Rhinolophus ferrumequinum: one gene and its partners. The protein of the gene in region 4 purifies or fractionates together with the protein of the main gene of each other region. This does not show direct contact. Links are inferred from orthologs where the notes say so. Each region holds a gene or a part of one and is shown on either strand. Other genes may lie near its edges.

Region 1 (7,298 bases), on a different chromosome or scaffold from region 4:
GGGGACGACGGAGCCCCGGTGGGTCCCAGGCGACTGTCAGAGGCCTGGGCAGCCAGAAGCTGACTTCTGTGGTGTAAATGCCGTCTAAAGCCAATGCCTCACCCCAAGCTCCTGCCAATCCTTGGGAATATTTCCTGGGATTGTTTCCAAAGGGCAGACCCGACCTGACGTGCAACCCTTCAGCAGCTCCTCACTGAGCTCAGGATCAAGCGCAAGGCCGCAGCACAGCACAGAAGCCCTCCGCCTGTCCCACCACAGGTGTCACGCTCAGCCAGCCTGGACATCCTGCAGTCTGACAGCAGGATTGCCTGCCCTCCCCGTGCTCCTACCTCCAGGCCATTGGGGGAAAGGCCCTTCTTCCACACGCAGGGTTCCCACTCCACCGCGCCCCCCGCCCCGGGAAGGGGCAGTCAGCCCCGCTGGCCTCCCCCAGGCTGGCACACCACACTGAACTTGGCCGTGTGACTGAGGTTCTCACCACCCTTAAGAAGGCTGCTGAGGCATTCTGGGTTATGTGCTTATTTGTACAAACAGATTCTCCTCCAATAACTGATTCTGTACATCAACTGGCACGACCATTCTTTCCATTATCAAGTATGTGCAACTCCTTGGACCCTGGTGAGGACCAATCACGAGTCTCCCAACACCCCACATCCTCCCACCATCCACGGATGGTATCAGCAGCCAAAGAGAAGTCTGCCGGAGACAGGAGAATTTCTTCTGGCTCCAGTTCCTCCTCCTGATGGACTGAAGGCAGGGTCGTCTTCAAGTCGCCCGGAGGGGTCTGAGTTTTCACCTGGCCCCGCTGAGCAGCAGGTGTGGCCGCTAACTCCAGGGTCACCACACCTGGCACGTCTGTATCACCTCCTTCAAGGCCTTCAGCCCCTCCATGCTTCTGTCCTTCACGGCCATCGCAAGGAGGACCGCTCTGTTTCCAGCTTCTTGAGACACAAATGTCACCAGGTTCTTTGCATAGACGTGGATGAGGGGCTGGTGAAGGGAAGGGGAGAAAACCACTTTAACGGCAAGGAATCTGTTCTTCCCTCAAAGCCTTCATTAAGTGTCCCCCAGGAACCCAGACCGGCTGCCCACACCACCATTAAGTCGCCCTCCGAGAAGTTCCATACGACAGCGATTCAGAGTTCAACAAGACTCAGCACTCGTCATGTAAGCACACTGCTGAGGAGGCATCGTTCAATTTCTCAGTGCTTTCTGATTCCCGTCTCTTCCAACTATCTCTAATCTGGGAGGCCTCAAGAAAGACAAATGCGCAGAGGGAAAGCGTCAAATCTCACAGAGGATCTTTCTACAATGGAGCAAAGTCAGCCACTCATTAGCACAGTGTACCGTGACAGGGTCCACCTGAGGAGGGCGGCCCACGTTACAAATCAATACCTTCACTTATCTGCTGAGTAAAATGCTGACGGGCTGGGAAAAGCGTCAACTCTGGGCAGGTGGATGCCCTCACACCCAAAAAGGCCCCAGAAAATGCTGTCACCCGATGGCGGCGGGGGGAGCCTACCAGACTGCGTGTCTGTATTTACAAATGACAGCCAAGGAGGCAGCGTTTCCTCCCCACCGGCGTTCCCTGCCCAACCAGTTACCTCGTCCTGTCCAAGGAGGACTTTTGTAGTAAGCAGAGGCTTGCTGATGTCACTGGCCACATTGGTGGGCTCCAGGGAGACCAGCGTACCCATCTTCCCAAACTGAGTCACCACCACCAGGATGTGACTGCTAAAGGCTGTGCAGACCACCTGAGTGGGGACCCCACACACCACTTCAGTCTTCTGCTTTGATGTCACCAACGGCGTGCCTTCCATGGTTGAGTCTCTTCAATGGCACCTTTAGTTGATGTACGAAGGAAAGATGGGAGGGAGGGAGACGAGAGGAAAAGGCGCGAGTCAGTCAACGTCAGGTGGGCCGTGCGACTACAACGTTAAGTACCATTTGGCATTAAAACAGAACCATACGGAGGCCCATTCAAAAGCAAGTGTTTGCCCAATACAGGTTTCACCGGGAACGTCCTAGATTCGTTGATGAGACACGTATATACCGACAGGCAGAGAAGGCGGAATGTCAAAACACGCTTTTGTCTGTGGAGCGGGCTGCGGGGCCGCGTTTCCTCCTGAGCGCAGCCCTTCCCACGCGCTCGGCCCCCGCGCGCCGCATCGCCGCGCGACCCGCTCCCCCCCTGAGCGCGCTCCCGTGCCTCCCGGGAGTCATGCCACGGCCACCGGCGCGGAAGCAAGCTCCGCAGGAGCCCAGGCCGCGCAGGAGCCGATGGCCGCGCCCGCCGCCCCTCTGGCTCCCCACGGAGGTTTTACTTTCTGTGTTTCGGGAAACCGCCGGCCCCACAGAAGCAGCATCCCCCCCCCGCGGCGGACGAAGACCCCGGAGGCCGCGGGGCAGAGGGCGGCTGAGGAGGGACCACGGGGAACACCCACCCCTGTGGATCCCGCTCGCACGCACCCACGCGCCGCCACGCCGCCGGCGCTCACCTGGCTCAGCGCGGCCGGAAGTGACGCACGCGGGCGATGCGGGCCCCGCCTCCACTTTCGGAGCCCAGGCCCGCCCACTCATCCGGCTTCCACCGCCGGAAGTTTAGCTGGTGGGACTTCCGGTGCCCGGGCCTGTGCGCTGGCCCGGCCTCCCGGCGGTTGCGCCGCGGGGTGCGGTGCTCCGTAGAAGGGCCTGGCTGGGCGCCTCTAGACACGGTGCCGGGTGACTGGGGAAGGGGACAGCGGCCCCTGCCCATGGGCCTCGGCCCCGGGCCCGCAGCGAAGGGACTTCCGGCTTCTCCAGAAGGGGGCCCTCCAGCCCTCCTGAGGGGGGCCCTGTGCCTCTGTGGTTGGGGCGCCTCAGGAAGGGGATCTCCGGCCCCTTGGCCTTGGGTTCTAGGACCCTTCACATAGCGCAGGGAGCTGTCAGAGAAAAACCGGAGCTGAAAGGTTTAACTCCTGAAAACAGTTTTCAGCATGTGCACGTAAGAAAACGCCCAAACCTGTAGAGAGTTTTTGTAAGCGTTCATTGGAGCCAGACTGGTGACAGTTGCCGGGGAGCAAGATCTCACAGGCTCCGGAGAGACAGTTTGCAGTTTCTTTTATGAATTTGAAATTAAGGCGCGAACGAAGATGACGTGGAGGTGGGAGGAAGGCAGGTGGGGACGGGCCGAGGGGAGTTTAGATGACGTGCTCGCTTGCCTCGAGGTGTGTTAGCCGCGGTGCGCAAGAAGATGGACAGGGGTGCTTAAGGCAGACATAAACCTTTTACTAAAGGCGCATGCCTGGGGGATGTGACTACTGACTACCCACCATGACCTGCTCAGTGAGGAATTCATGATACGATCACCCTGTGAAGTGACTTTCCCTAGAAACCGTTTTTCATGCACAAGGACTATTGCACGAGGGCAGAAGAGACCTCAGTATAGAACGAGCTCAATCCCAACTACAACGTGGGCCAGTGGGAATTCACAGCGGAGGAGCAGGGAGGGGTCAGTGGGCTGGAAGTTACTAAGAGGAAACAGCAGGGGCGGGGGGAGGCTAGCCCCACCAGCCTAGCAGTGGGCTTGCTGCTGGCAGGTCAAGGTGATCAGACCGCCAGGGAGATGGGGGAGGGTAGTCAGATAAGGAGGAAGGGAGATTCTTGCTAAAATTGGAAACTGCAGAGACAACACAGAGTCCAAAAGTAGAGGCCTAGTTGAACTAGAGTTCAGGGGAGTCTGAGTAGAGTCCGGTCTAGGAGCGAATTTTTGTCAAAGCTCTCTGCCCTGAAGTAACACAGAGCCCTTTAACCCCCCAGTTGGTGCTGGGGACTCTGCACCCCCAAGCCCATCTGGGATGTCCTTTTGTGTCCAAGACAATAACGAGAACAGCTAACGTTTATTTGGTACTTAATATGTGCTAGACGTCGTTGTAAGAGGTTTATATATAGTAACCCATTTAATCTTAACCCCTTAAGTAGGAACACTATTGTTCCATTTTATAGACAGGATGTTCAGGTTCTGAGAATTTGCCCAAGGTCCCAAAGCTGATAGGCCTGGATATGAGCTGCAAACCTTTACCCTAATTACTGGTCTCATGTCACATATGCCCAAGTAAAGGGGAAGAGGAGAGAACAGTGCTGCCCCTGTAGCAGGATGATTTCTGGTTCTCCCCAGGACCCTTGAGAGCACCCCCATCCCGTACCACTGCTCATCCTTCTCCAAACCGGAAGTGTTATTGGCAGAATGGGGGGGGGGTCCTTGTGCTAACCACAGCAATCTGAGCCTTGAGAGTCTTCCTCCGGGGTTAACATCCCTTGAAACCCCACACTCACAACTTTCTGTCTAGTTTCCTGACAGCCTCATCAAGGCGCACCACCCCCAGCCCAGCCTGTCCACACCGCATACCCCTTAGGGAGCCTTGGCCACCATTTACTCCTTTGTCTAGTAACTTAACTCCTTACAAAACCCAATCAAATCCAGTGAAGCATGCTCCTGCTAAAATGATTTCTGGTGGCCTAAAATAAAAGGCATGTATACAAAACATGGTAAAAACGAACACAAAAATCAAGAGGTAACTTGTTTTTGAGCTTTCTTACAGCCAGTTCACAGAGGGAAATATTCTGAGTTTCATGGTTCCAATAACACAAAACGAAAGAAGCATATAATTTCTCAGGGAGTCCAAGTTTTTGTTGGTTCTAAATTTAAACACATCCACCCCCACATATCCAAAAATCAAATTGCCAATGTATTGCTTTGCTGTGTGAAACCTTCAAAAGATTCATTCATTTTTATTCACTTACTGTGCGTTCTCTCTCTCTAGATAAATAGACACAAGGAATCTGGTGCCCCCACAATACCACCTCTGAAATGACCTATCACCTTTATAAAAGAGATGCTGAAGAGCAAAGTGGGCCATGTTTGGATGACGCTTAAGCAAATACGTAAGTGCTTTCATTGGACTGTTTTTTGGTGTAGATCTTTGCTAAAGACTGAGCAGGAAAGAAGTGAGAGGCGGGAAGGCTGTCCTGGCCTGGGCGGTGGCGGTCCAGGGGCTGGCTTCCTGGGGACCTCCTGGGTATGCGGGCAGAATGCATCACTCAGAACTGTGGAGCAGCTCACTGTCTGCTGTAGACTGTTCTCCAGCGCAAGGCGGTCATTGGACTGGAAAGATCCCTAAGCGAATTCACTTAAAAAGGAAATCAGGTGGTAACGGTGTCAATAGTGGGGAAAGAGAATTTGAGAATTCATCTTGAAAAATAAAAAAAGGGGAGAAGATCTTGAATTTGTCTTATATTCAAGGAATTTTAGGTTATGAATGCAATTATATGCTAACTTGTAGAACCAACAAAGAATTAATCAAGTGTCGGTTTGGCAGGGTCATAATTTTCCAACAAACTGATAGCTCAACACATTGTGAGTCACTGTGAGTCCCTGGCCCTTGCGGAAATGTACGATGGCGCCGTCAACCTTCCCAAGAGCCTCCCTTAATCCTTTGCTGTTCAGCTCACTTCTTGTTGAAGTGCCATCCTGTCAGCAGCCTTGTCAGTTTCCGTGTTCTCAGTTGCCCACCTTTCCAGCACCCCAGGCTCCCCTACAGCTGCCATGGCTTTGGGCTCCATCTGAACATCCCCCAGTCGGACAGTTATGGGTGGCCTAAATCTTGCGTTTTTCTTGAGGTTACCAGTTTGACTTTGCAGTTGATTTGCACTGGACTCCACGGCGTCACAGTGTGAGTTGCAGGCCTTCCAACGTTGGGTACGCGCGTGTGAGATTCAGGGTCTACCCCCAATGGGGGTTTGAGTAGAGCCCCATGTGTAAACAATCAGTTCATTAGTGCAACGGCGTTGCGACGATTTCTATTTTCCTGTGCAGCCTCATGACTGCAGGCACTCAGGTAACGGAAACGTCAGCAGTAGGGACCACCAGTGTGTGACAGTCTTGGAATGGGTCAGAATTCCACATTCACAATCAACCTCTTTGGACATCACTTTGCACTTTTGGGTAACTTGCCCAGTCACCCTTGGTCTCCCAGCTTCATTGGGGATGACGATTGCGCCTGCCTGATGGCTGAGGTGGCCCACGTGCAGCAGGTCACCAGGCCTTTATGAGTGTAGCTGTCACATTTATCACTGGCCAGCTGTTCTCCCATCCTTCAGTAAGTGTGCCTGCCGGAGGACAGCTGGGTGCATGTCAAGCACTGAGATTAGGACGGATTCATGCTCAAGGCGCCGCTCGCTGCCTTGGCCTGTGGCCTGGGCGCCCGGCCTCGCAGGAGGCTCTGTGCAGGGCTTGCCTGAGTCACGGTCTTGCAGACACAACCCTCTCTCCAGTGTCTGTGAGACGCAGTAGGAGGTGAAACCGTATATAAGTGATTATCATGCTCACGTCTCTCATCGGGCTCTGAGAGGAGCTGGTAGCAGACAGTGGAAGGTGACAATTATGGTACAGGCCTGAGACATGGGCCTTAGATATGGATATTTTCTTATATTTGGGTTACAGAGTGAGGGAAAATGTACCACTAGGGTTTTTTCAAGTGTGGGTGGCAGACATCCTGTGAAACCATCTCATGCCCAAAAGGGTGGTAGGTGGGCTCTCACAGCTGAGAGACCAGAGACTCGCACAACTTCTCCCATCTCTTCACTCTGCAGTCATTGTGTTGGCTCCATTCTCACAGAGCTGTCCCTGTGTTGTGGTAAAATCACTGGCCTCTACACCTCAGTAGCTTTACTTTCCCAGTTCTCCCAGTAAAAGTGCCAGGATTGAATCTCTGGAGAACAGCCTGGTTCATGAGCCTGACCTTGAATCAGTCACTGTGGCCAGGAGATGGAATCCATGTATTGGCCAGTTCTGGGTCACAGGCCCAGCCCTGGATAATGAGTATTTAAAAAATAAGTTAATGTGAAAGCAACTTCCCATGCATTGGGAGTTAAAGCATCCTTCTAAATAACGTATGTCGAAGAAGAAATCATAAATGGAAGTTATAAAGTACTTAGAACTGCCCGCCCTTCCCTCCCTCCAGCTCCTGGAAACCACCCATCTACTTCCTGTCTCTGGACGTGCCATTCTGGACATTTCCTGTAAGTGGACACACACTGTGTGGCCGTCATGTCTGGCTTCTCTCACTCTGCCTCATGAGGTTCATCTGTGGCATTCCTTTTGGAGGAACCGATTCTTGTATGCTGAATAATTGGGACGATTAAGTGACATCTCATTTGCAGAAGGGCTGAGTTTAGGGCCTGACACGTACAGGGTGTTTAATAGTTTCCCTCTTTCCATGGGTCATTGGAATCCAGGGCGATACCACATAAGAGGCCCT
Region 2 (7,577 bases), on a different chromosome or scaffold from region 4:
AGAGGGTGACACAGAGGGATGGGGCAAGGAAGACCATTGGGGAGTGCAACTGGGAGGGCCTCACCTCAACAGCTGTGGTGAACTGGATCTGGTAGAGAACAAACGTGACAAGGTTCCCACTGCTGACAGCCCCATTGGTCACCAGCTGCCCACCAATGTATAGGATTCCCACCTTCAGCAGCATCCCTGAGATCTGTGGAGAGATCACGGAGAAAAGGGGTTGTGGTAGAAATCTAACAGCGGGGCACAAAGAACCAGAATCCTTAGCGTTAATGAGATATAAAGTCCCTTTCCCCATGTAACAGCAGGACGCTCCGTAAGTAGAAAGGGAGAATGAACCATAGAGATGCCGTGCTCTTACTCAGTGACACGTGACAGAGTCACCATCATCATCACCATTATTGGCTTGTTTGGGGAGCGTCTTGCTCGTCACAGAAGGCTTACGTGAATATAATGTAAGCTAATATTCATATCAAGAGCTCTGTAAACCAGGTTATATCACTCCCACTTGTTAAAAATGAGGGAACAGTCTCAGAGAAGGTAAGTTACGAGGCCACGGTCACAGAGCTAGTAAATGGCAGCACCAAGCCAGGAGCTTCTGCTTGCTGGTCTAGGCCTCTAAAGACGCCACAGGTGCCCCCATCTTTGGCTTCTGCTATTCCCGTGGCTCTCACTAGCACATCACACAGTCCCAGCATGAAGCTAGCCCAGGTGCAGGAATTTCTGGCTCCCTGAGCACCCTCTGAGAAGCAAAGGAGGCTCTAGAAGGCATGGAATCTTCCTCAAAAGGGGGTTGGGCAGATTTTGTGTGCCACAGAGAAAGAAAGCCATCTGCTAGGTGCTTGCCTAAAAGGAGGGAGTGGGTCAGGAAGCCTGAGTAGGGTAACTGAGCCTCAGGTTGCTAGGATGAGAACACTGAAACCCCCATTGCCCAGTGGAGGAGGAGTGTGGAGCCGGGTCACGGGAAAGGGAATGGAGTCAAGGTATGTTGGGGGAAAGGGAGCAGGCCTTCATCTCCAGGTTCTCACACTAGTGGTCCAGAGGTTGACTGCATAGGCCAGGGCCTCCTTCTGGTTGAGTGTCTCCATTTCCTGCAGCTTTTGCCTAAACTTCTGGGCCTCAGCCTCCTCGTTGGCAAAGCTCCGGACTGTAGGCATAGCTGACAGGACTTCAATGGCCACCTGGCTGGACTTTGCCAGAGATTCCCGCACCTGTACTGCCAGCACCTGTGGAGACATGTCCAAGCCAGGGTTGGCAAACCATAAGGGACACTAGTACCTGAGTTACCTGGTTGGAGATAAAAGGTGAGAAGAGACAGAGGGACAGGAGAGAAGAGAAAGGGACTTGGCTATATCCCTGGGATCCTAAAGAGATCCAGAGGAGAGGAAAATGACTCAGAAGCGTGATGGGATCATATTCTTGAGATTGGTGATCGTAGTCTTAAAGACAGACTGTGGGCAGAAGTTAGAAAAGAACACACAGAGACCATGAAGACTAACAGTGAGCAATGTGGGAACACGGACTACAGGAGTGGGGAGTCCCGGGAACATGGAGAATCAGCCAGGGTGCAGAAAAGAAAGCGAAGAGGAACTGGGTCCTCCAGGTGAGGGAGATGAGTGTCTGTGTAGGTTGAGGCAACTCCTTGGACATACCTGGTACCATTTTCCCAGCTTCTTAGGCAGAAGGAAAAGCAGAGGCAGGGAGATGAGGGTGACCATGGTGAGGGACAGTGACCCCCAGAGCATGAGCCCCAAGAGACACAGCCCCCGCACCAGGTACCACAGCAATAGGCTCAGCTCCTCACTCAGAGACTCACTCAAGGTGGACGTGTCCTCTGTTACTCGAGATGTGATGGCACCTGGCAGGGGTTGGGGAAAAGAGAGAGGAGTGAATGACAGGCTCAGAGTGATGGGAGGGACCAGTAGTGAGCCGGGGTCCAGGGGGAGGGGTGTCAACATGGTGTTCTAAGGAGGCTGGGAAAAACAAGTCGGGGTACAGGGAAGTTTGGGGGTCTCAATGCAGGGAGAGTATGTTAGACAGGGAAAGTCTGGCCAAAAGCCTTCATTTTAATTGTAAAGAAATTGACGCCCATATAAATTCCCATATTTCTGTTGCTTAAAGAACTTGCATACGCCACGCTGTACACATAGGCAGGAAGAGCTTAGGCTGGTTATATCACAGCTGGAGGAAAATGGAGGGTGCTGCTAGAAAGCAGTCCAGGAAGCTTTGGGAATCAAGAGATGGGTTCTGTCCTCAAGTTCGTCTCTATCCATACGTGACCATGCAAGTGTCAGCACTTAAGAGGTTAGGCCTGTTTCCTTCTCTGTAAAATGAGGCAGTTGGACTCTGATATCAAAATGTCCAGGTTTGCAATGTTATAGTTTCCATCTAAATACATAAATAGAGATAAATTTATGAAAAAACCTTGGCTGGAAAAACTAGGCTTTTCTGAAGGTAAAGAGTACAATATTTTGCTCTTGAGGCATACCAAAAATAAGAAATGACAATGTCTATGCGAGAGAAAGAAAGAGGGAGATATCAAAGTTATAAGTACAAGGGGATCTCAGGGAATATAAATAGCATATGGATGTACAATGGAAGAGTTTCATGAGAAACCTGTTTGGTTCTGTTGGAAAAACTCTGTTTCCTGGCGCAGGACAGCCCGAAACACCTCTCCCTGCAGGTGACTGTGCACGCGGCCCATGGTGCAGTTATAGATCCCATCAGCCATGAACTCAAGCACTGCACTGGAGACAGACAGAGACAGAGGGTCAAGGGTCAATGTGTGCTCAGGGGACAGAGCAGGTCCCTGCACTTTAGACGGCAGCCTCCATTTCCACCTCCCTCTTTTGCAGCCCCCCGACCCCCCACCACCGCCTGTTCTCAGCCTTCCACCTTCAGCCCCCAGACCTGGCTATGGTGAGAATGCACATGAGAGTTATGTTTCGGGTGAAGGCAGCTGCTGCCTCATCTTGGAGAATCCAGTCAGTAAGGCGGCCGGTGAAGAAGGGAATGGCCATCTCACCTGCGATGGGACAGAAGAGATGAGTCAGTCACAGATATCAAGTCTAAACAGGCCAGCCCCAACCAGACCGCCCCCGCCAGTATCCTGGAGGGCAGCGGCAGAAAGTCCTCACAGAACACAACCCAGCACCTGAGCAGGCCGGCTTGGAACTTTAAAGCTCTGCGGCCCCACCAGACCTTGAGGAGTTTAATTAGGAAGCCTAGAGATCATGGAGTATCTTAAGATACCCTTGTATGAAAAATACTGCCTCAGCGGAAAGGACTTGCCTACCCCAGGAGGCCTAGTGAAGTGACGCCTGGGGCAGCACTGGAGTCCAGGTCTCCGTTTCCCACCCCGTCCAGGAGTGGTCTCCTCAAGACCCGAGCTGAGTCCCCTTTCTCTGACCCACATTTCCCAGAGCTCGGTAACCTATCTCACGGATCATTACTCTTGATTCCTGCCCAGTTCCCCAGCGTCCATCCCTCTGGCCCTGAACCCCCTTACCAAGGCAGGAGAGGACCAACAGGACCAGAATGAACGGGAGGCGACGTATCTCTGAGCCCAGGCAGCCTAGAAGCCGACGCACCGCGTCTCCAGAACCCCTGTGACCTCCCAGCATCCAAAGGCTCCGGAGCTTATGCCACAGGGCGGCTGCGGGCAGTGCCGCTGCGTAGCTGAGGACGAAGGCGTCCAGGCGACTTCCCCAGTGTAGTAGCCTGGTGCTGTCATTGTCCGTGGAGAACCCCCACGAGCCCAGCTCTCGGAACAAGGCAAGTCCTGGCAGAGCCAAGCCCAGCGCCGCCGCCAGTGGCTCCAAAGCAGCCAGCCATCCCTGGACTTCTTTGCTTTCACTCTTGGTGCCAACTGTTGCCCTGAGGACCCCACGGGCCCCCAGCCACAGCACTGCCCAGCGGCTCAGGCCTACTACCCAGACCCTGAGCAACGGCAGCGCGGCGGGCACCAGCAGGGATGACATTCCGGGCAGCGCCGGCCGGAGCAGCACCCAGTCGGCGAGAAGCAGCAGCGTTGACCCCAGCCACGCGAGGAAAGCTCGGGAGAGGCAGTGGCACCCGCACGGAGCGGGGGGCGCTGAGCTTGCCATGGGCGGGCGGGGGTCGCGCCCGGGCCTGGGACTCTCGGCGGTCCCCGCTGGGCCCGAGGCTCTGGGTGCTGTGGGAGTCTGTCCCGAGCGCGCGGGGACCAGCGGCCGGGCAGGGCGCGAGGGGGCGGGCGGGCGGCGCTCTCGGAAAGCCCCGGGAGCCGGCAGAGCCCGCGGTGCTGGCTAGAAGCGAGCCGTTTAGGGGAAAGGGAAAACGAAAGCGCCGCGGCACCAACCAGAGCCTCCCACTCGCCGACGCGCCGGCCCCACTCTGTCGGGAGTGGCCGTTTAATCAGTTCTGAGGTTCTGGGGAGCTGCCTTGGTGCTCCACCTCTCCATCACGCACACCCGTCCGTCCTCCTTTTCTTGCCACCTCAAGTAGGATCCACTTGTCAAGACTTCTTTACCCCAGCCTCAGAGTGGGGCTCTTTAGTCACCTGTCTCCGGGCAGATCTGCCCCACACAGGTTAGCGTCGGGGCGCTAAGCCTCACGGAGAGGACGCTGGCGCCCCCTGGCGGGCGAGGAGAGGGGGCGGGACTGTAGCGTGCGCGCAGCTGGCTGTCCCAAGTCCGAAACCAGTGCCGCAGGCGGCGAGGAGCGCGGCGCCGAGATGCTGCGGATCGGAGCGCCAACCGGGGACTTACCCCGGGCCGGAGAAGTGCACACTGGGGTAATGAGTCTGGGCGTGAGGGTCAGCAGAGGGGTGGAGGAAGTGGGGCGACAGGGGGATTCTGGAAGCGCCAAGGAGTGAATACGGAGACTAAGAGTGAGGAGGTTCCTTGTAGCACCCAGTGCTTGCACCCTGCAGTGAATCCAGGGCGTCTGTTCTGAAGGGGATCATCTTGGGGCCCGCAAAGGGCCTGGGCACGCGAGGCTGGTGGAGAAAGGGGTGCTTTGGCTCTTAGCTGGAAGCGTCAAGGGGAAGCTGCTTGCTCTAAAGCGCTTTCGCTTTCACTCTGGACTAGAGAGAGGGGCTGGTTAAATCAGGAGGGGGCTGGAGAAGGAGCAAAGAGATAAGGAAACGGTGCTCTGGATGCAATAGGACATCATTTGGGGGGTGGGGTATGGGCACTGATTGAGAAGAGCCAACTCATCACACAGAACTTTGATAAACTGGCACCTGGGCAACTTACAGCCCCAGCACTGATACTGAGGTTTCCATGGGAGCCCGTGGTGCCCTTCCCCAGCTTGGCCCAGGAGGGCACCTGCTTGGTCCAGGTGCCGCCTGCTCCCTTCCCGGTGCCTTCTCTCCCCACTCCCACGCACGTGCTGGGGGGCTTTGCCCAGGCTGGGCTCCTGGGGCAGACGGCAGCCCACCGCTGGCTGGCTTCTGCTCCCAGACTATTGCTACCATTCTTGGCTTGGGGGTACTTTATTACAGAGGAATAGCCCCGAGGATGAGTTGCCCCTGCTCTCTGGCCCTCTATTCATGGTAAATCAGTATGTGAGAGAGGACTCACGGGCGATATGCCCGGAGGGCTGGGGGGGGGGCAGAGTAACTTGGGGAGTGGTGAGAAAGAGAGTAATAATCCCACTTATAAATTAGAAAATCTCTCTCCTCACTGCCAGATGAGCAGCAGAAAGTAGGAAGTAGCAGCCAAACAGAGTGGACCTGGGTTTTAGACCTGAGTCTGTTATTAATTCTGAGTGATTGGATAAGTCACGTGCCTTCTCTATGACTCAGTTTCCTCATTTGAACGAAGGATCTTTATGCCCTTTTCCAACTCAACAGGACTAGATAAAGTGTAGCTTTATCCTCCTTTACTCTTCTTTAATTTCTTTTCTTGACCTGAAAAAGTCAGCTGAAACTCTCAAATCAAATCCTCTCTCAGTACAGATTTCTTCCCCTGACTAATGAGATATCTATTTGCCTCTTAATCAGAAATCCTTACTTGAAACCTTTGTTTTAAACTGTCTCATATGCTCCTTGCTGCTTTCTTCCTTTCCTGAGACGTGACCCTGCTGACCATGGACCCCCTCGACATTTTCCAGGGTTCAATAAACTGAAAGAGCTCACTTCTGATTAAGGGGGGGATGGGGAGGATGTAGATGGAGGATTCTGGACCCCAAAAAAGACCTGCGCTTGTTTCCCAAGGTCACGGTAACTTGCTTCGCCAAGTCTGTACCACATCTGCCATACAAGCACATGAGGTGGAGATAATTTACTTGTGAGGCTGGCTCACCGGAGCTTGGAAGAGCCCACTAAGCCAAATTTCTGCCTCTAGTAGCCTCCTCCCCACCTCTCTCTTTACAAAGGAAAAGATTCCACTTTGGAAGTTTGGGGCTTAGGGATGCAGTTCTTCCTGTGTTGTACCATGGCCAGGCTGCCATTCCCTTGAGCCGGGAGAGACAATAGAGAAAATGGGAAGATGGAGAAAAAAATCCTGTACTGGAGTTAGCTCTGGCCTGAGTTACTGTGTGACCTTGAGCCAGTCCCCTCCCCTCTCTGGGAAGGTTTCCTCTGGGAATGTGACAGGAAGGGATCAAGGCTTTTCTTGCTCCGACATTCTATCCTCTGTGTCTCTGCAGACAACCATCATGGCAGTACAGTTTGATGGGGGCGTTGTGGTGGGTTCTGACTCCCGAGTATCTGCAGGGTAAGTACCAGCTTTGGAAGAAATCTACGGGCCCCAAATATGCCTTTTCCTTACCCATTCATTAAGAGTCTGGTGAACTGGAGCTTTGGAGAAATGGAATTAACCTTTCAGAAAGATTACTAATAAGCTATTAAGTGGGTGCTTGTGTCTCTGAATTCAAGGAGGATCATACAGGGCCTGAATGCTACGTGGCCTGTCCCTGGAAGGAATAAGGTCTGAGAAGGGGATAGTGAGAGAGATTTGAGGGGCCCTCGTTCCTTCTATAGTTAGAGGCAGAAAAGATGGTTCTGACAAGATGAAATTCTGGTTTCTCATCTATCACCTATTGAACTAATTTTGTCTTCCTCCTGGTCAGTTTCCTAACATGTAAAATGACTATATGGGATTAGATCAATATTACTTACTTTATGTTTAGAACACATAACTTCCTCAAGATGGTTACTAGCAAAGAAAAATTGATGAGGAACATTAGTCGTAACTTAATATTTTTTATTTTGTTATAAAATCTGAGCCTAAAAATAAGTCTAATTTTGATTACTTGCAGTGTTTCATTTACTTCAGATGATTTTTTTGCTCCCTGCTTTGATCCAAGCATTACATTTCGTGCACTCCGTGGTCGTTCTCTTGTCAAATAAATATGAGGAACATTAGACAATTAACCTCAATCTTCCTGCAATTCTAACGCCGATGATTGTCGACCCCTCCCTGACAGAGAGGCGGTGGTGAACCGAGTGTTTGACAAGCTGTCCCCACTACACCATCGCATCTACTGTGCTCTCTCCGGTTCGGCTGCTGACGCCCAGGCTGTGGCCGACATGGCTGCCTACCAGCTGGAGCTCCATGGGTATGAAGCTTTGGGGTCCTCACACTACACCT
Region 3 (7,699 bases), on a different chromosome or scaffold from region 4:
AAGCCCTATCTCCTCCTGCTGATCAGGGTGGACTTCCCCTGTCAGGATGGTGACTCTTTTTCAACTTGCTGGACTCTGGACACAGGAGCCCCAAGTGCCCAGTGGCAGCCATAACATAGCTTAGTGGAACTGTTGCTGTGTCCCCTGGTGGCAGTGTCCTCCTTTTGGGAAACAGAGCCCCTAATCTGTTTGGGAAGCACAATCCCCTAAATGTGTTGTTGGGAATGATGGGAGTTGAGGTTGCTTCTGCTTCCACTTCTTGGATCCCTGACTCATGAGGTTTTCTTGCTGGAGACACAGCATCATACAAACTTTGGTTCAAGTTGTATACAGGGTCCTGGAAGACAACTCTCCATCCTTCTAAATGATCATTTCTGAGCATTTCTACCTGCTGTGGGCAGCAGCTTGTGGGTGGCATACAGTGTGGTATGTCAGTGGCTGGAATGGGTCTGGGCCCCCTCTCCCACCTCTTTTGCTGCCTCATGTGATATTATGCGAGTGCCATGCAGGAGGACCATACTCTCTGAAAGTACTCAGATAATGGCGCCATCTGCGGCCCTGTGGACAGGGAGGGAAATCCCATACCTGAAACATGGTTATTTTCCTGTCAGAACAAATTGTTGGCCCCTCTGGCTGGAAAGAGCCCAACATCACCAACTTGCTACCATGTGGATGGTGCCATAACAGAGCCTAAGGCTAGATCTCTGTTGGTAGTTAGGACATTTGGTGGTGGCAGCAGCAAGATGGACAGCTGGGTGCAATGCTAGAGTGAGGCTGTAGTGCAGCTGCCATCCATTTGTAGCTTTTACCCCACACCGACCCATCCAAGAGCTAAACTTAGGCGTTTACCTCACTCTTCAGCTATTTCTGTGGGATCCCCGTATGGCCATAGGTGTGAACCAAAGACAGGGCATTGGTGAACTGAGGTGACTATGATATAATGCATCAATGTGATATTATGTAGAATGTCTAGACATCTAGATAGTCTAGTCTCTCAAAACTACATTCTGATAGAAGGTGAAGAATTAACATATTCTTGGGCAAAACTATAAATGAATATTTCTGTTCATCCCATGTAAATGCAAACTCTTTCTGCTCCTCTTTTCTGATTGGAATAGAAAAGAATGCATTTCCCAAATCCTTGGTCATATACCATGTACCTGAGGCCTTATTATATTGCTCTAGCAAAGATACCACATCTGCTATGGCAGCTGTAACTGGCACTGCTTCTTGGCTGAGTATGGTAGTCCAGTGCCGTCTTCCAGGATGCAGATGGTGAAGTAGAGATATGATGAGGACCACCATTACTGCATCCTTTGGTCCCCAAAGGTGGCACTAATTTTCACCATCCTCCCCTGGATGCAATGTTGATTGGCTGGGGAAGGGGCAGTTTCATAGTCTTCCACTTGGCTTTCTCCACTATGATAGCTCTTAACTCATAGGCCAAGGACTCGATGTGGTGACTGTGCCAACTTCCAACTATGTCCATTCCAATTATATATTCAGGGACCAGGCAAATGACCCCAGAGAGGTCTGTAGACCCAATGGATCCTTGGCCAGGACTCCATTTGTTGTCTGGTTCCTGTATGTTCCCACTGTAGCAGGAGGACATTGATGACACTTCAGGTCTCCAGAACTCCATTCCAACTCTGACCCTTGAAATATTTGGGTCTTCCTCTTTCCCTAGTATATGGTTATCTGAATAAATGGCCATTGGACCCTTTGGGGAAGGGCTGGGAAGTAATACGTGTATACTTGACACGGTGTTGCAGGGAACCGGGCCATTTCTTCAGTTACTGAGTTCCAGGTCTGGAAACTGATCAAGGGACCATAAGAATTTATTAGGATGACTGCACTCAGCCTCCTGATCATCTGTCCTTGATTCCTTCTGACGGTGTAAAGTAAATACTACCCTTGTAGTAGTCAGCCTCCGCTGATCCCACAGACGCTCTGGAGTGAAAATGGCCCATCACAGTTGTCCTTGTCCTGCACTGGGTCAAAATGGCCTGGCCTTTATTCTATTACCTCCATGAGTCATTGGATACGGGCTGCCCTAGGAAGTGTGTGCAGACTCTGAAGGAGGACACAGCAGAAGAATTCTGCTAACAGCATTTCCAGCAGCTGGGACAAGAAGTCCTTTCTTGAAAGGGGATGTAGGAGGGACATCTCAGAGTCCACCATAGTCGATGGAGTGAGGTTCCTGAGGACGTGGAGAAGGATAGGGTCAGAGCACAAGTAGATAGATTAAACTTTGACAAGAGGAGGCGCGTCTTTCCCTGTAAGAGAAGTAGGAGGAGGTAAGAATGGGATCAGATGAAGATGAGGGTTTGAGTAGAGGGACAAGGAATTGGGAACATCAAGCCTGATAACCTCTGTTTTCTTTATAGAATCAGAAGCAGGGTCGTCTGCTGAACTTGGGTTTGTAGGGTTAGGGCTTGAAGAGCATAGTCCTCAGGGTAAGCGAGAGAGTACACAGTCTGGGGAAGGCAGGGCAGTGTTTAAGGGGCAGCTGATGTTGAGGGGCATCACTGGTTGTTAACCATTCCTCCAGGGTCATGTGACTTCCCAGGCATGCTCAGAGCCTAGACGAAGAAGCAGAGAGGAGCATGCTTTCACTTGTGCTGCGTGGATGTTGGCGAGGAGAGTGAGGCAATAGGGTGTTAACTATTACATTTCCCCAGACAGGTCTTTAAAATCCTCTAGATATAAAGTCTCCATTTTAAAAATTGTGTTTGTCTTCTAGGAGTACAAAGCATTAGAGGGTATTAGAGTTGAGGTGAGGGTGAGATCATCTGCTCCATTAATTCAGTTTGTCAATTTGCTCTTTTGTAGATCATGCTTTTGGTGTTTTATCTATGAAATCTTTGTCTATCTAACTAAAGGTCACAAAAGTTTTCTCCTGTTTTCTTTTAGAAGTTTTATAGTCTGATGTTTTATGTTTAGGTGCATGAACCATTTGAATTCATTTTTGTGTATGATGTGAAATATGAATTGAAGTTCATTAGAACTTAAGAAAATGCAAATCACTGTGAGAAACAGTTTGTCAGGTTTTGAAAAGTTACACATATAACCACTATATGATACAACCATTCTACTAGGTATTTATCTATGAGAAATGAAAGCATATGTCCTTACAGAGACTCACTTGTACACATACGTTCATAGAAGCTTTATTGTAATATCCCCAAATGGGAAACCGCCCAAATGAACATCAACATGTGAATGGATAAACAACGGTGGAGTAGCCATACAATAGCATCCTGCTCAGCGATAAAAAGGAATGAACTATTCGTACACCCAGCAACCTAGATGAATCTCAAAATAATTATGAGTGAAAAAGAAGACAAAAAATAGTACACATTGTAGGATTCCATTTATGTAAAACTCTAGAGAATGCAAACTAATCTGTAGTGACAAAACGCAGACTCGTGGTTGGGGGAGAGACAGGAGGGATTACAAAGGGGCTTGTGGAAACCTTTGGGGGTGGTGGACATGTTCATTATCTCTATTATAGCCATGGTTTCATGGGTTATATATATGTCAAAACTTCAATTTATATACTTTAAATATGTGCAGTTATTGCATGTCAATTATATCTTAATAAAGCTGTTTAAAAATTGACCTGAAAATTAACTATATTACTGAATCACTGATAATTAGCAAATAGGACAAACCTATAAGAATACTTACTCTTTAAAATTTGAATATAGTCAACTTAAACCTATTAGAGATTTAAAAAGCAGAACTGATAGTTCTGACTTAAAATCCAACAGTCAGTTCTAACAGAATCGGACAAAATGGACCGTTTGCTTTTATTGCAATGTCCTTTAACATTCTGAAGGCTTCCTTATTTCAACTTTGTAGTGTCTCAAAGTGACTAAAATTAAAGAGTCCCTCAGGGATAATGGCCACCATTCACTGTGTTTCTCTCGTACTTGTTCATATTCCTTTCCACTTCTCTGAGAGGTACCTATTATTTCTATTTTGTAGATAAAGAAACTGAGTCTCAGAGACGTTAAAAAGTTAGTTCAAGGCTTGGACATAACTGCAGCTGCGTGTGTGTGTGTGTGTGAGAGAGAGGGAGGTCTGAATCCATAAGCGTGCCTGCTCATTCTCCCAGCAACTCAGTCCACGCAATTTTCCTTTATAGAAGCTTTCTCCCAACATCGTTGCCATTCTTCAGGCTATCTATGTCCAGGGAAGCCTGGAGTTACAGGGCTGCCAGGAGGAGGAAGATTTTGATAATCTAAACACAAGATGGTATGATAGGTGGTGGCTGCTCTCGGGTGCTTAAGGAATTACGTAATTAAAACGGGATTGTCTTTGTAGGGCGACGTGTCACGACCTGGGAAGACGTTGCCCCTAGCTCCAGCACAGCAGTGCTACTAGTCTGCACTAACTGGGGTGGCGGAGGAAGGGAACAAGCGAGGGCGAGTTCTGCCGGGCGGCGGTAGGTGCCTGTCCGGGTTGGTGACAAGAGCGGGTTTCCCTCCAGCGTTCAACGATGAACAGAAGCGCCTAGAGAAGGCGGCGGGGTGGCGCCGCCAGGATCCTGTCTGCACCGAGAGTTTGAGCTGCCTGGCCCCGCCCCTCGGCACCGCCCACCCCAGCCCTAGGCCCCGCCCACTCAAGCTCTAGGCACAGCCCACTCCCGCCCTAGGCCCCACCCACTCCGGCCCTAGGCCCCACCCACTGCCCGGGACCGAAAGCGGAGGCACACTCGGTCGCTCGGCGCTCGTCTGCTCCGGTCTGACCGGATCACCGACCGCTAGGGGGACTAGAGTTGCGGCTCCTGTGGGCCGGGGGCCCGCCGGGCGGCATGGAGGGGCAGTGGGCCTCCGCGGGTGGGGAAGTGTCCCTGCACAACTTCAGCGCGAGGCTGTGGGAGCAGCTGGTCCACTTCCACGTCATGCGGCTGACGGACTCGCTCTTCCTGTGGGTGGGGGCCACACCGCACCTGCGCAACCTCGCCGTGGCCATGTGCAGCCGCTACGTGAGTGTCGGCCTGGGCTGGGCGGGCGGAGCGCGGGTGGAGAAGAGGAGAGGACGCGGGGAGGTGCGGCGGTCCCTAGGCGGCGCGGCCAGCTGGGGGGCCGGAGTGACTGGGCGGGAGGGTGAGTGAAGGGCCTCGGCGCGGGCGTGGGCCCCGGATCCACTCCAGAACTCTTTCTGTGATGTCTTAAGGAAGGGAGGGTCTGTGTGGACCTTCACCACCCGAAGGGGGGCTGTGTGCCGTCATGCCAGCACGTGGGACCACAGGCAGGCCTCTTCCTTCGGTTCCCGCTCCTCTGCTGGCTCCCACCTCTGTGGTTGGAGTGTCCAGGGGCTTCACCGTAGGACCTCTGCTCTCCCGTTACACTCCCATCCTTGGGGTTGGCATCTGCCGTAGTTTTCATGCTCTTTCTGTATTGACCACACCGACATTTATCTGTGTTTCCAGTACAGACCTGTTTCCTGAGCGTCAGACTCCTGTGTCTCTACTTTGGAAGTCTAATAGGCATCTCATACGAGACATATTCAAGACCAGACTCTTGACTTCTTCCCCCAAAGCTGCTCCTGTAACAGCCAGCCTATCTCTGTTATGATAACTCCACTGGAACCAGGAGTTAGCCTTGATTTCTCCTTTCCACGCTCCACGTGCTGAATGGTAGCGAATCTGAGGGCACTGCCCTCAGAACACACATGTCTATACTAAGTGTTCAGAGAAAGACAAATATTGTATGATTTTCACTTATATGGAATCTGAAAAATACCCCAAACAAACACAGCAGAAACAGATTCGTAGATACAAAGAACAAACTGATGGTTGCCAGAAGGGAATGGAGTAGGGGGATGGGTAAAAAAGTTGAAGGAGAATAAGAGGTACAAACTTTCAGTTATAAAATAAGTCAGTCATAGGGATGGAATGGATAGCATGGTGAATATAGTCAACAGTATTGTAATAACTTTGTATGGTCACATGTTTTCTTGACTTACTGTGGTGACCATATCGTAAGGCATACAAATGTATAATCATCACTATGTTGTACACCTGAAACTAATATTGTATGTCAACCATACTTAAAAAAAAACAAACATACACAGAATCCGACCACAGCTCACCTCCTTCAGGCCTGGTGCCCTGGGCCAGGCCTGCAGGATCTCTCCTCCTTGGCTGATTCCCCCTTCGCTTCCTGTATTACTTTCTTAGAGCTGCTGTAATGAAGTGCCACAAACTGGGTGGCTTAAAAAACAACAGAGATTTATTCTCTTCTAGTTCTGGAGGCCAGAAGTCTGAAATCAAGGTGTTGGCAGGGCTGGTTTATCCTGGAGGCTCAGAGAGAGATTATCCCTTCCCTCTCTCCCATCTTCTGGTGTTGCTGGCAATCCTTGGTGTTCTTTGACTTGCTGCTTCCAGTGTCACGTGGCCTTCTCTGCGTGTCTCTGTCTATGTGTGTCTTTTCATAAGAACCCGAGTCGTAATAGACTAAGGGTCCACCCTATTACAGTATGACCTCATCTTAGCTGACATCTTTTTATCTGCAAAGCCCTGTTTCTAAGTCAAGTCACATCTACAGGTACTAGGGCTTAGGACGTGGACATATCTTTTTGGATATGTTCAACCCAAACAGTGCCTTACGGCCAGTTCTCCGTGGGGCAGCAGACTGCAGTTAGACATGTCATTCTTCTGCTCCAGACCTTTCCGGAGAGAAACTCAGCACAGTCCGGAGCCTTTTCTGTGACCCCCAGACCCTGCTACCTGGGAGAGCTCTCCTGCTCCTACCCTCCTGCCTGGCCTCTTGGCTGCTCTAAGCCCACTGCTGTGCCCCCAGGTGTTGCTCCCTCTGCAGTTTGTCCGTTTTATGAGTTTTTGTGTCCCTAGTGCCTGATAGGCTGCCCATTAAACCCTTGATGAGTGAATGGGGGAGGCAGCCGCAGGGAATTCCCCCTTTGCTAGGGAGGACGACCAGGCTCCATAGCCAGGGGCCTCGGGGATGGTGGGAAATCAGAGGAGGGAGGCATCAGGCAGGACCTGGGCAAAGCGTCGGGAAGGACACAGCCTCTGAATGGGGCTTCTGGATATCCTCACACAGTTTCCCCCTTGCCTTCTGGTTGCTCTTCTCATATGCCTTTCCCCTTCTTCTCAATCTTCTTTTCCTAGGTTTATTTTATTGTATTTCTTTGCTGGTGGGTACCAGCAGGTGGGCCTTTGGGCAGGTGACAATTCCAGGTCTTCCTTTATTAGAGGAGACAAGGAGGGCCTAGAGGGGCAGGGGTTTGATGGGTGTGGCTGTGTTTGGAGGTCATGGCGCCCTGGAGCCACCTAACCTTTGTCTCCTAATCCTAAGGACGCGGTCAGAGACCTGTGTAAGGCTGTGGGCTGCGTGAGGCCCAGGACCTCAGTGCGGGGAGCGTGTGAATCAGTTTCAAGGCTCCTCCTGTGGGCTGCTTTGGTGGTCTGACCGCTCGGTAGTCATAGCTCTTAGTAGTGCGAGTGTCTCAGCTGGAAAGTCACCCTCCATCGAGACTGGGGCAGGAGAAGGAAAGGAATCATTCCCACTGCCTGGCTACATTGTGTGCCTAGACATTGCCCTCCAGGGGCTGAGGACCAGGCCAGCTGGAGAGAAGAGGTGCAGGCCAAAGCTTAAGGCAGGAAAACAAAGATTCCTGTGGAATTGGGCTGGGCAGACTGACCTGTGGGCTGGCCTGTGTATACTAT
Region 4 (7,338 bases):
TATCCCTAATCCTCCAGAAATAATCACTGTATTATCTATACAAAACTGAAAGACCCAACACCTTGGAGCTAGCAATTTAAGCCATAACTGCTTTATTAGGGTAACACTTTTCCCTGGGGGGGAAATAAATTTTACTGCTGCATTAGCCATCTTAATAACGTAAAACTCTGAAGATATAATTTACAACTGTTAACTTTACAAATATAAAAATTTCTATATTGACAATTAAAATGTATAAAACACCTTTATAAGATGAAGCGGGTAAAACAATTATAGGAATCAAGTATCATAATTTTAAAGTTATAATAATGAGTTACAGATTCACATCTAAACTTTGATTATTTTAAGTTACATAACACCATAAATCGAGTCATCTTTCATAAATGAGAAGAATCACGTCTCATTTTCCACTATATCCCCAGCATTTGCCTAATAGTACCATGCACCTAACAGGTATTTAAATGTTTCCTACTAAAGAACCAACCATTAAACAGTCAAAAAAGAAAACAAGAAGGTGGGTAGTAGTAGTTTATGTAGAAAAGAACAGTGGGGAAAAATTTTTTTAAAAGGTTAGGGAGATTCACCCGTTATATATTTCTTATTATAACAAAAGTTATTCTGCAATAAAACCTCACAGAGATTTACTCAGTTAAATGACAATTTATTATTGCTCCTTACCTAAGCTTTCTCTGTGTACTTCAAGTAAAAAGCCATCGTGAAAATCTGGCTCACAGGCACATGGAACAGGTTTAGAACGAAAACGCTGGTTTCGAAAATGTAAACATAAAGTAAACGTTGAACAAACTTGTCCTGGTAAAGGCTCAGGTTCTTGCAGATGTTCCAAGAAAGCTTTTCCACCCAAAACCTGAAGGTAAAGATACCTCCGTGTTGGATCAATATTAGCTGTAAAGTGTAGCAATATATATGAGGAAACTGCCAAATAATGTAAGGAATGTGAACAAGACAATAGGAAATAACAACTTGACAGAAATAAAAACAAAGACTGGGGGGAAAAAAGTAACAAATTTACAGTATACCAGGACCATTTGCACCCAAGGAAGAAAAGATACATAATATGGTATCTTTTTCTGAGTTTGTATTCTGGCTACTTTTTCTCAGCTAGAAAGGAGTCAGAGCCAAGGTTTAGGATAACTTTGCTCTTTAGTTGCTATCCAACTATCCATTCCTTCACCTCCACAAACCAACTCAATTATCTCAACTCAGCAAAGTGTACTTGTGAGATAATTACATAGCCACTAAAAAAACACAGTTGTAAAATTTTTATAAAATATATTACTAAAACATGAGAAACAGGCGGTCCTATTTTTGCTTCCACTTTGCTATACATTAAATCTTCTGATATCATGCAAAACAGAATTGAAGCTTTTTGGATTAGTCACAAAAATATAAGTATTTCATTCTGGAAAAAAAAATTGAAGTGTTTTCTATCAAATACCAAACACTACAGCACGTCTATTCACAGTACTATCCACAAGTAAATTAAGGTTAAAAAGAAATACACATACTTTTTTTTAACAACGTTGATTGTTTATCAGTAAAACAAACTGATTGTTTTGGAGAGGAAGGAAGTTCTTGATCAACACTGTCCTAGAAAGGCAGAAAAATACAAATCAGAAAACAAAAATTATAATTAAGAAATGCCAATAATGGAACTAAGAACCAAACCAAAAGAAGATAGAATAAAGCCCCTTATTTTCCTCAAACAGTTCAAATAATGAAAAGCCTGCAAAAAAGGTGATGCAACTAGTCAGTCCTACAGTTTAATGTTAAGGAACTAAACTGTCTTCAAGCAATGTCCACAGAATGCTAAAAAAAAATCCTTAATACCTCAAACAAGGTCAAACTTTCTCTAAACCTCATATAACATTTGGCTTATGATTGTACCATGAACTGATTTTAATAAGGAAGTGATATTCACACACAGCAGAAACTGTTATTAGGTCAATTTTTATACCAAATGGGTTTACAAACCTCAAAAACCAAAAAAACGAGGCTGTATTAAAATACTTATCCCCTGGTGTACTATGAAGTCCATCCAAATTCTACATTATATTTCCCAGGTATTGAGGTCACAATTTCTCATTATTGCCTCATTTTCAAAAGGCCTACTTACTAATTTGTACACTGAGAGGGAGGCTATCATTCCATTACTGACCTATTTGTCTGAAAAGCTTTAAAGATTCTTATGCAGACAATTATTTTCTTAAAGGAATTGATAATTTCTTAATCATAGATAATATTGTCCCGAGTGTTTATTTTAAAAATAAGCCTAATTTTTAAAATTATAGAATATTAGTGAAAAACAACTAGGTTATGTTTGACTAAAATATATATACTTAAAGTTACAGACTTAGAGAATAACAGGAGAAAATTCTGTCACTGTAGAGAGAGAAGAATGGTATATATGTACAATTTCATTGATACATAATCCTACATTGAATCTACATTCAATTGTAGAATTAGTTTATACTTGAAACAAGGATATTACTAGGCAAAGCTACCATATTTTGAAGTGGTTTTACTAAAAGAAGAGGCCCCAAAATATGCTTAGACTCTCAGATTTTCTCCTCTACAAGCTTACTCACAGTAACAAAATTAAGTTCTTTCATCACATCGTCAATGATTCCACGACGTCTAAGAGCTTTGATCAAATCTTCTGTTGATAACTGTTGTTGATCAGGTGCTAATTCTTCCCGTATTGTCTCAGCAAGGATTTCTCTTATTCTGCCATGGACATCCATCTACGTAGAAAACTCACATTACAATTCACATTACAAAGCAGACAAATATTGCCACTTAGTTCATTTCTTTCTAAAATACTGACAAAGAAAAGAATAATAGGAGAGTACACTAAAATCGGGAAGGCTTCTCAAACAAATAATAAATGTAAAATTGTTACCAGAATTCAAAGATAATAAAGGCGAGATTTTTAAAAGGAAAAAAAATTTTTTTAAATGAAAACTTATACTACAAATTCTAGAAATAATCTCTACTGGTTATCTACTACTTTTGTTACTATTTCCCCACAAATAACATTCAACCAAAACAATCTTTGGAGAAAGAGTATAGTATAATCAAAAGAACACAGACCGAGGGGAGGGGATCAAAGTATGACTTTCACCTTACAACTTATTAGATGTGATCTTGAGTTAACTTATTTACCTTTTATGAATCTGGAAAAAATAGTGCCGTCAAGGTTATTGTGAGGCTCAGATAAAAGACGCTAAACACTTAGTACAAAGCCTGGCATCCGAGTGCACAATAAACGGTAGGTTTTATTACTTCAGCTTAATTGCATTCAGTTGAGCACCTCAAAGATACAATGTTCTTCTTGAGCTCTGAAGTATCACAAATGCTTTCATTACAAATCCTTACTAAATTCTTTCATAACTTCTTTAAGAATTGTCAATTTGGTTCAATATCAATGACACCTGAAGTTCCACCCTTAAATTAATTCTAATTTCTGACCTTTGAATATAAACCTGCTCCAAACACAACTTATACTCGATATGACTTCCAGAAGTCATTGGTACACGCTTCATTTTCACAACTGTCCCATAATACTAACGCCGTTCTATCACCTCAGACTCTTACTAGCACTTTCTGAGCTCGTTCTCATTATCGAGCCTAGACAGTTCCTCTGGCTTCAAACCCGAAGCTTTGCACATCCCACGCTCTGCGTCTCACAGCCTTTGCTTGAGTCCCCAGCAAACAGGTGCCACAGTCGGCCGGGACAAGGGACACAAAGCTGGACACTTGGGGCCACTGGCGGGAAGAGCGCCCGCGGCCCCTCACCTTGCTCAGCTGCTGGTGGATAAGCTGCTTCAGCTCAGAGGCTTTCTCCGGAGGCAGCGACATGCTGGGGCTGGCGCCTCAACACGGATTCCCTTCGCTTCAGGTGCCCCAGCCGGCCCCAGAACGTCAGTGTGGGGTGAGCACAGAGCCGGCGCGACCACTTTCCTCGCGCAGCTCCCGCGGGGGCGCGACGCCGCATCAAGCCCGGCGCTGAGCGTGAGGCGGGGACGTGGCTGCGGCGGCGCCCAACTGTCGTTTTCAAACGGCAGCGGACAACCAGGCCTCGGAGCTGTCCCCCGCTCTGCCTGGTCAACTCCACCCACTCCTCTTCCCTCGGGGTCCCCACCTCGTGACCTCAGCTCAGCCAAACTCCTTGCCTTGCTAGTGTCTCTGGATGCGCGCTCTCCGCTCCCATTTCTCCCTCCCTCGAGGTCCCTTTCTGTTTTCTGGAACGGCAGATACGTGGACGAGCCTCTCAGGACCTCGCGCCGAGGGCTCGAAGGACCCAGTCCGCCTGGCCCCGCCCTGCCCGGGTCGCGCGGGGTTCTAGGGGCTCGAGCGTGCAGACCTTGAGAGCTCGTGGTTCTCGCTTTCTCGCCGCCCCGGTTCTTCCCAGGCCGGCACTCATCTCCTTCTTCCCACTGCAGTGCGACCATGTTTGTTCCCTACGGAGAGTCGGTCCCGGATCTCGCGGGTTTCACCCTCCTGATGGTGAGTCTCCAATTTCGCGAACTGGCTTGAGGCTGCTACCTCTCGGGAGGCGCCTGCGGTACCGCCACCCCAACTCGGGATTTTTCGTCCGGCCCTGTGAGAAAGCGAGTACTTGTTTCTATTTCGAGTTTTAAGCCTGCGCCGAAAATGTAGAGAGGTTGTCGCTGGAGGCGGCGGTCCAAATAGAACCTTTGTTGGCGCTATCACCAAACCTTGTATCTAAGTCTCCAGTTTGTGGTCTTTGTTGACTGTACAACGTAATGTGTTTGATGTTACCGATACGTTGTACATATGTGGTGCGGGACGTTCTCTTTGCTTTTTATACTAGAAAATCTTTTTTCAACTAGTTTTAGCGTCATTCTTAAGCTAGCAAGTCAGTCATTAACCAGAACATTACAATAGAGTAACAAGGCAACTTTTGCCAGTAGCTAACATATGGTTCTATCGCTCTTAAAATTGTCCATATTAATTCATTGTTTCAATAAACATTCTATGATGTGACGATATTAGAATAACACTAGGCCCATGTTCTCAAAGAGTTTACAGTCTAATAGGAAACACGTAAATCAATAAAGGCAATATATGCTAGGATAGAAGTTTTAAAAAGATACAGAAAGGCCTTAGGACTTATTGGGGGAGGGACACATGGCTCTGTTCAAAGCGTCATATGTGGAATCTTAAAAAAAAAAAAAATAGAAAGAAAGAAAAAAAAAAATAGAAAGAAAGAAAAAAACACCAAACTCATAGATTACAGAGAACAATTGGAGAGGTAGAGTGGAAGGGTGGTTGGGTGAAATGGGTGAAGTAGTCAAAAGGTACAAACCTTCAGTTTGCTAAGAGAGTAGATATTAAAAGTTTTTATCACAATAAGAAATTGTAACTGTGGTGATGGATATTAACTAAACTTATTGTGGTAATCATTTCACAGTATATACATATATCAATCATGTTATGTATCTAAAAGTGATACAGTGTTATATGTCAAAAAAGAATGATGGTAATAGAAAAATGACTTTTGGTCCGTTTTCATTGTAATGCATGAAATATCAATGAATGCCAAAATTAGTGTGCGATAGTGTTTGAGGAAGGGAATTTTCCATAATTTCACAGTATCTCCCTGAAAAATATTTATTAATCTCAAAATGGAAAAAGTACCTTTGCAGGAGCTACCTGGAGAAAAAAATGAAAAAGAAAAGCTTCATAGAGAAAGTAATGTCTAAAAGATTATTGGTGGTAACCTTAAAAAAGTTATCAGTGGAACAGTGAAGAGGGAAGCATATTAAAGTGGGTTGAATAAATGGGGAAGAGGTGGAGACGTGTATACGTATATATTTGTTCATTAATTCAGAGCTAAAGTTCCTGCTTATGTTTTAGTGGACAACCGTGGGGAATTTTGGCTATGGAAGGACACCTGGAAGTGAGGTGGTAGCTAGGGGAGTGTGTGGGATCAAGAGACGGTTTTTTACAAGGAAAGATATTAGAGTATGTGTATATGCTGATGGGAAGAATCCAGTAGTGAGGAAAAGATAGATGATACAGGAAAGTGAGGATCTAACGAAAGTAGCAAAATCGTTGAGAAGGGAAAGGGGATTACAGTGGATAACCAGCAATCAATGACAGCAATGAGAAGTGGGAGACCACTCTGAAGGACGCAGAAAAGTATGCAAAGGCCAGGAAAAAAAAATAGAATCAATAAAATTTAGATGTGCGTTAGGTATGGTTGGTAAAGGAAAAGGAAAAAGTGTCCTGGTTTAGGTAATTGGCTCAATAATTGTTTCTCTTTTCTGAAATACAAAATATGAGGACAATTTTGGGCAAAAGTTTAATTTTGTACATGTTGGATGTGAGTTACCTGTGACATAATCATGTGGAGATACACATTAGGCTCTGGAGTTTAGATGAGTATTCCAGGCTGTAGCTACAGATTTGGCAGTTGGACTATTTGAAGTCATGGGGTGTGTGTGTGTGTGTGTGTGGTGTTTTTAGTGTGAAAATAAGCTCACTCCAACATTTAGGCGCTAATAAAGCAAACAGAAAGAGGCCCCAACATCACTTTTGTTCCTACCTCACTGCCCTCCTTTATCTCTTTCAGGTCTATAAAGCAATTCTTTTCTTGACCACCCTATTTAAAATTGCAGCCAAACATATACACACACACTGACAGTCCTTTAATTTTTCTCCACTGCACTTAACACTGTATATTTTACTGGGGTTTTTTTTTGTTTGTTTGTTTACTGCAGGTAAACTACTCTCCCTAGAATGGAAGCTTTACAAAGGCAGGAACTTTTGATTTACATTCCCAGTGCCTAGAGCAACGATTGACATATAGTAGGTGTTCAGTAAGTGTTAAATCTGTAGTCTCAAAGGTGGAGGAGGTCCCTGCTGGTACCTTGCTTGCAACTACAGGAGAGTCAATATGTACCATGTTTCCCTGAAAATAAGATCTAACTGGACAATCAGCTCTAACGTGTCTTTTGGAGCAAAAATTGATATAAAACCTGGCCTTATTTTACTATAATATAAGACCAGATATGATATGATAGGATATGATATGATAGGATATGAGATCCGAGGTACCGGATCTCATACAGCGGTACCTCGGTTTTTGAATGTGATCGCTCTGGAAGACCGTTGGAGTTCTGAAACGTTCGAAAACAGCCAACAGCTAGGCCTCAGGATGTTGCACTCAGCGGAAGCTGCGTGACATGTTCAACTTTCAAGGCATGTTCAAAAACTGAAGCATTTGCTTCTGGGTTTACGGCGTTCATAAACCGAAATGTTCGTCAGTGTTTGAAAACCAAGGTACTACTG

Evidence for each region.
Region 1: the proteins of PSMG2 (region 4) and PSMG3 purify together in Homo sapiens (affinity purification with mass spectrometry; 4 studies listed by BioGRID and IntAct, counting the BioPlex papers as one, with this or other methods). This does not show direct contact. The link is inferred for Rhinolophus ferrumequinum from reciprocal best matches to the Homo sapiens genes PSMG2 and PSMG3.
Region 2: the proteins of PSMG2 (region 4) and PSMB9 purify together in Homo sapiens (affinity purification with mass spectrometry; 3 studies listed by BioGRID and IntAct, counting the BioPlex papers as one, with this or other methods). This does not show direct contact. The link is inferred for Rhinolophus ferrumequinum from reciprocal best matches to the Homo sapiens genes PSMG2 and PSMB9.
Region 3: the proteins of PSMG2 (region 4) and PSMG4 purify together in Homo sapiens (affinity purification with mass spectrometry; 3 studies listed by BioGRID and IntAct, counting the BioPlex papers as one, with this or other methods). This does not show direct contact. The link is inferred for Rhinolophus ferrumequinum from reciprocal best matches to the Homo sapiens genes PSMG2 and PSMG4.

The regions. Positions count from the first base shown.
Region 1 is NC_046307.1:43,891,541-43,898,838, reverse strand, and holds PSMG3 (proteasome assembly chaperone 3), read right to left. Parts: upstream 2,559-7,298; 5' UTR 2,499-2,558; exon of another isoform or gene 2,445-2,498; intron 1,843-2,444; 5' UTR 1,821-1,842; coding exon 1,605-1,820; intron 991-1,604; coding exon 838-990; 3' UTR 510-837; downstream 1-509. UniProt on the Homo sapiens protein: Chaperone protein which promotes assembly of the 20S proteasome. May cooperate with PSMG1-PSMG2 heterodimers to orchestrate the correct assembly of proteasomes.
Region 2 is NC_046286.1:3,316,036-3,323,612, forward strand, and holds the start of PSMB9 (proteasome subunit beta type-9), read left to right. Parts: upstream 1-4,574; 5' UTR 4,575-4,714; coding exon 4,715-4,774; intron 4,775-6,633; coding exon 6,634-6,701; intron 6,702-7,413; coding exon 7,414-7,545; intron 7,546-7,577. Other genes in the region: TAP1 (antigen peptide transporter 1), read right to left, coding at 65-193, 1,029-1,226, 1,653-1,858, 2,617-2,747, 2,911-3,025, 3,509-4,106. UniProt on the Homo sapiens protein: The proteasome is a multicatalytic proteinase complex which is characterized by its ability to cleave peptides with Arg, Phe, Tyr, Leu, and Glu adjacent to the leaving group at neutral or slightly basic pH.
Region 3 is NC_046292.1:90,572,454-90,580,152, reverse strand, and holds the start of PSMG4 (proteasome assembly chaperone 4), read left to right. Parts: upstream 1-4,684; 5' UTR 4,685-4,819; coding exon 4,820-4,993; intron 4,994-7,699. UniProt on the Homo sapiens protein: Chaperone protein which promotes assembly of the 20S proteasome.
Region 4 is NC_046302.1:5,541,660-5,548,997, reverse strand, and holds the start of PSMG2 (proteasome assembly chaperone 2), read left to right. Parts: upstream 1-4,323; 5' UTR 4,324-4,470; coding exon 4,471-4,527; intron 4,528-7,338. Other genes in the region: CEP76 (centrosomal protein of 76 kDa), read right to left, coding at 679-903, 1,527-1,608, 2,607-2,762, 3,817-3,879. UniProt on the Homo sapiens protein: Chaperone protein which promotes assembly of the 20S proteasome as part of a heterodimer with PSMG1.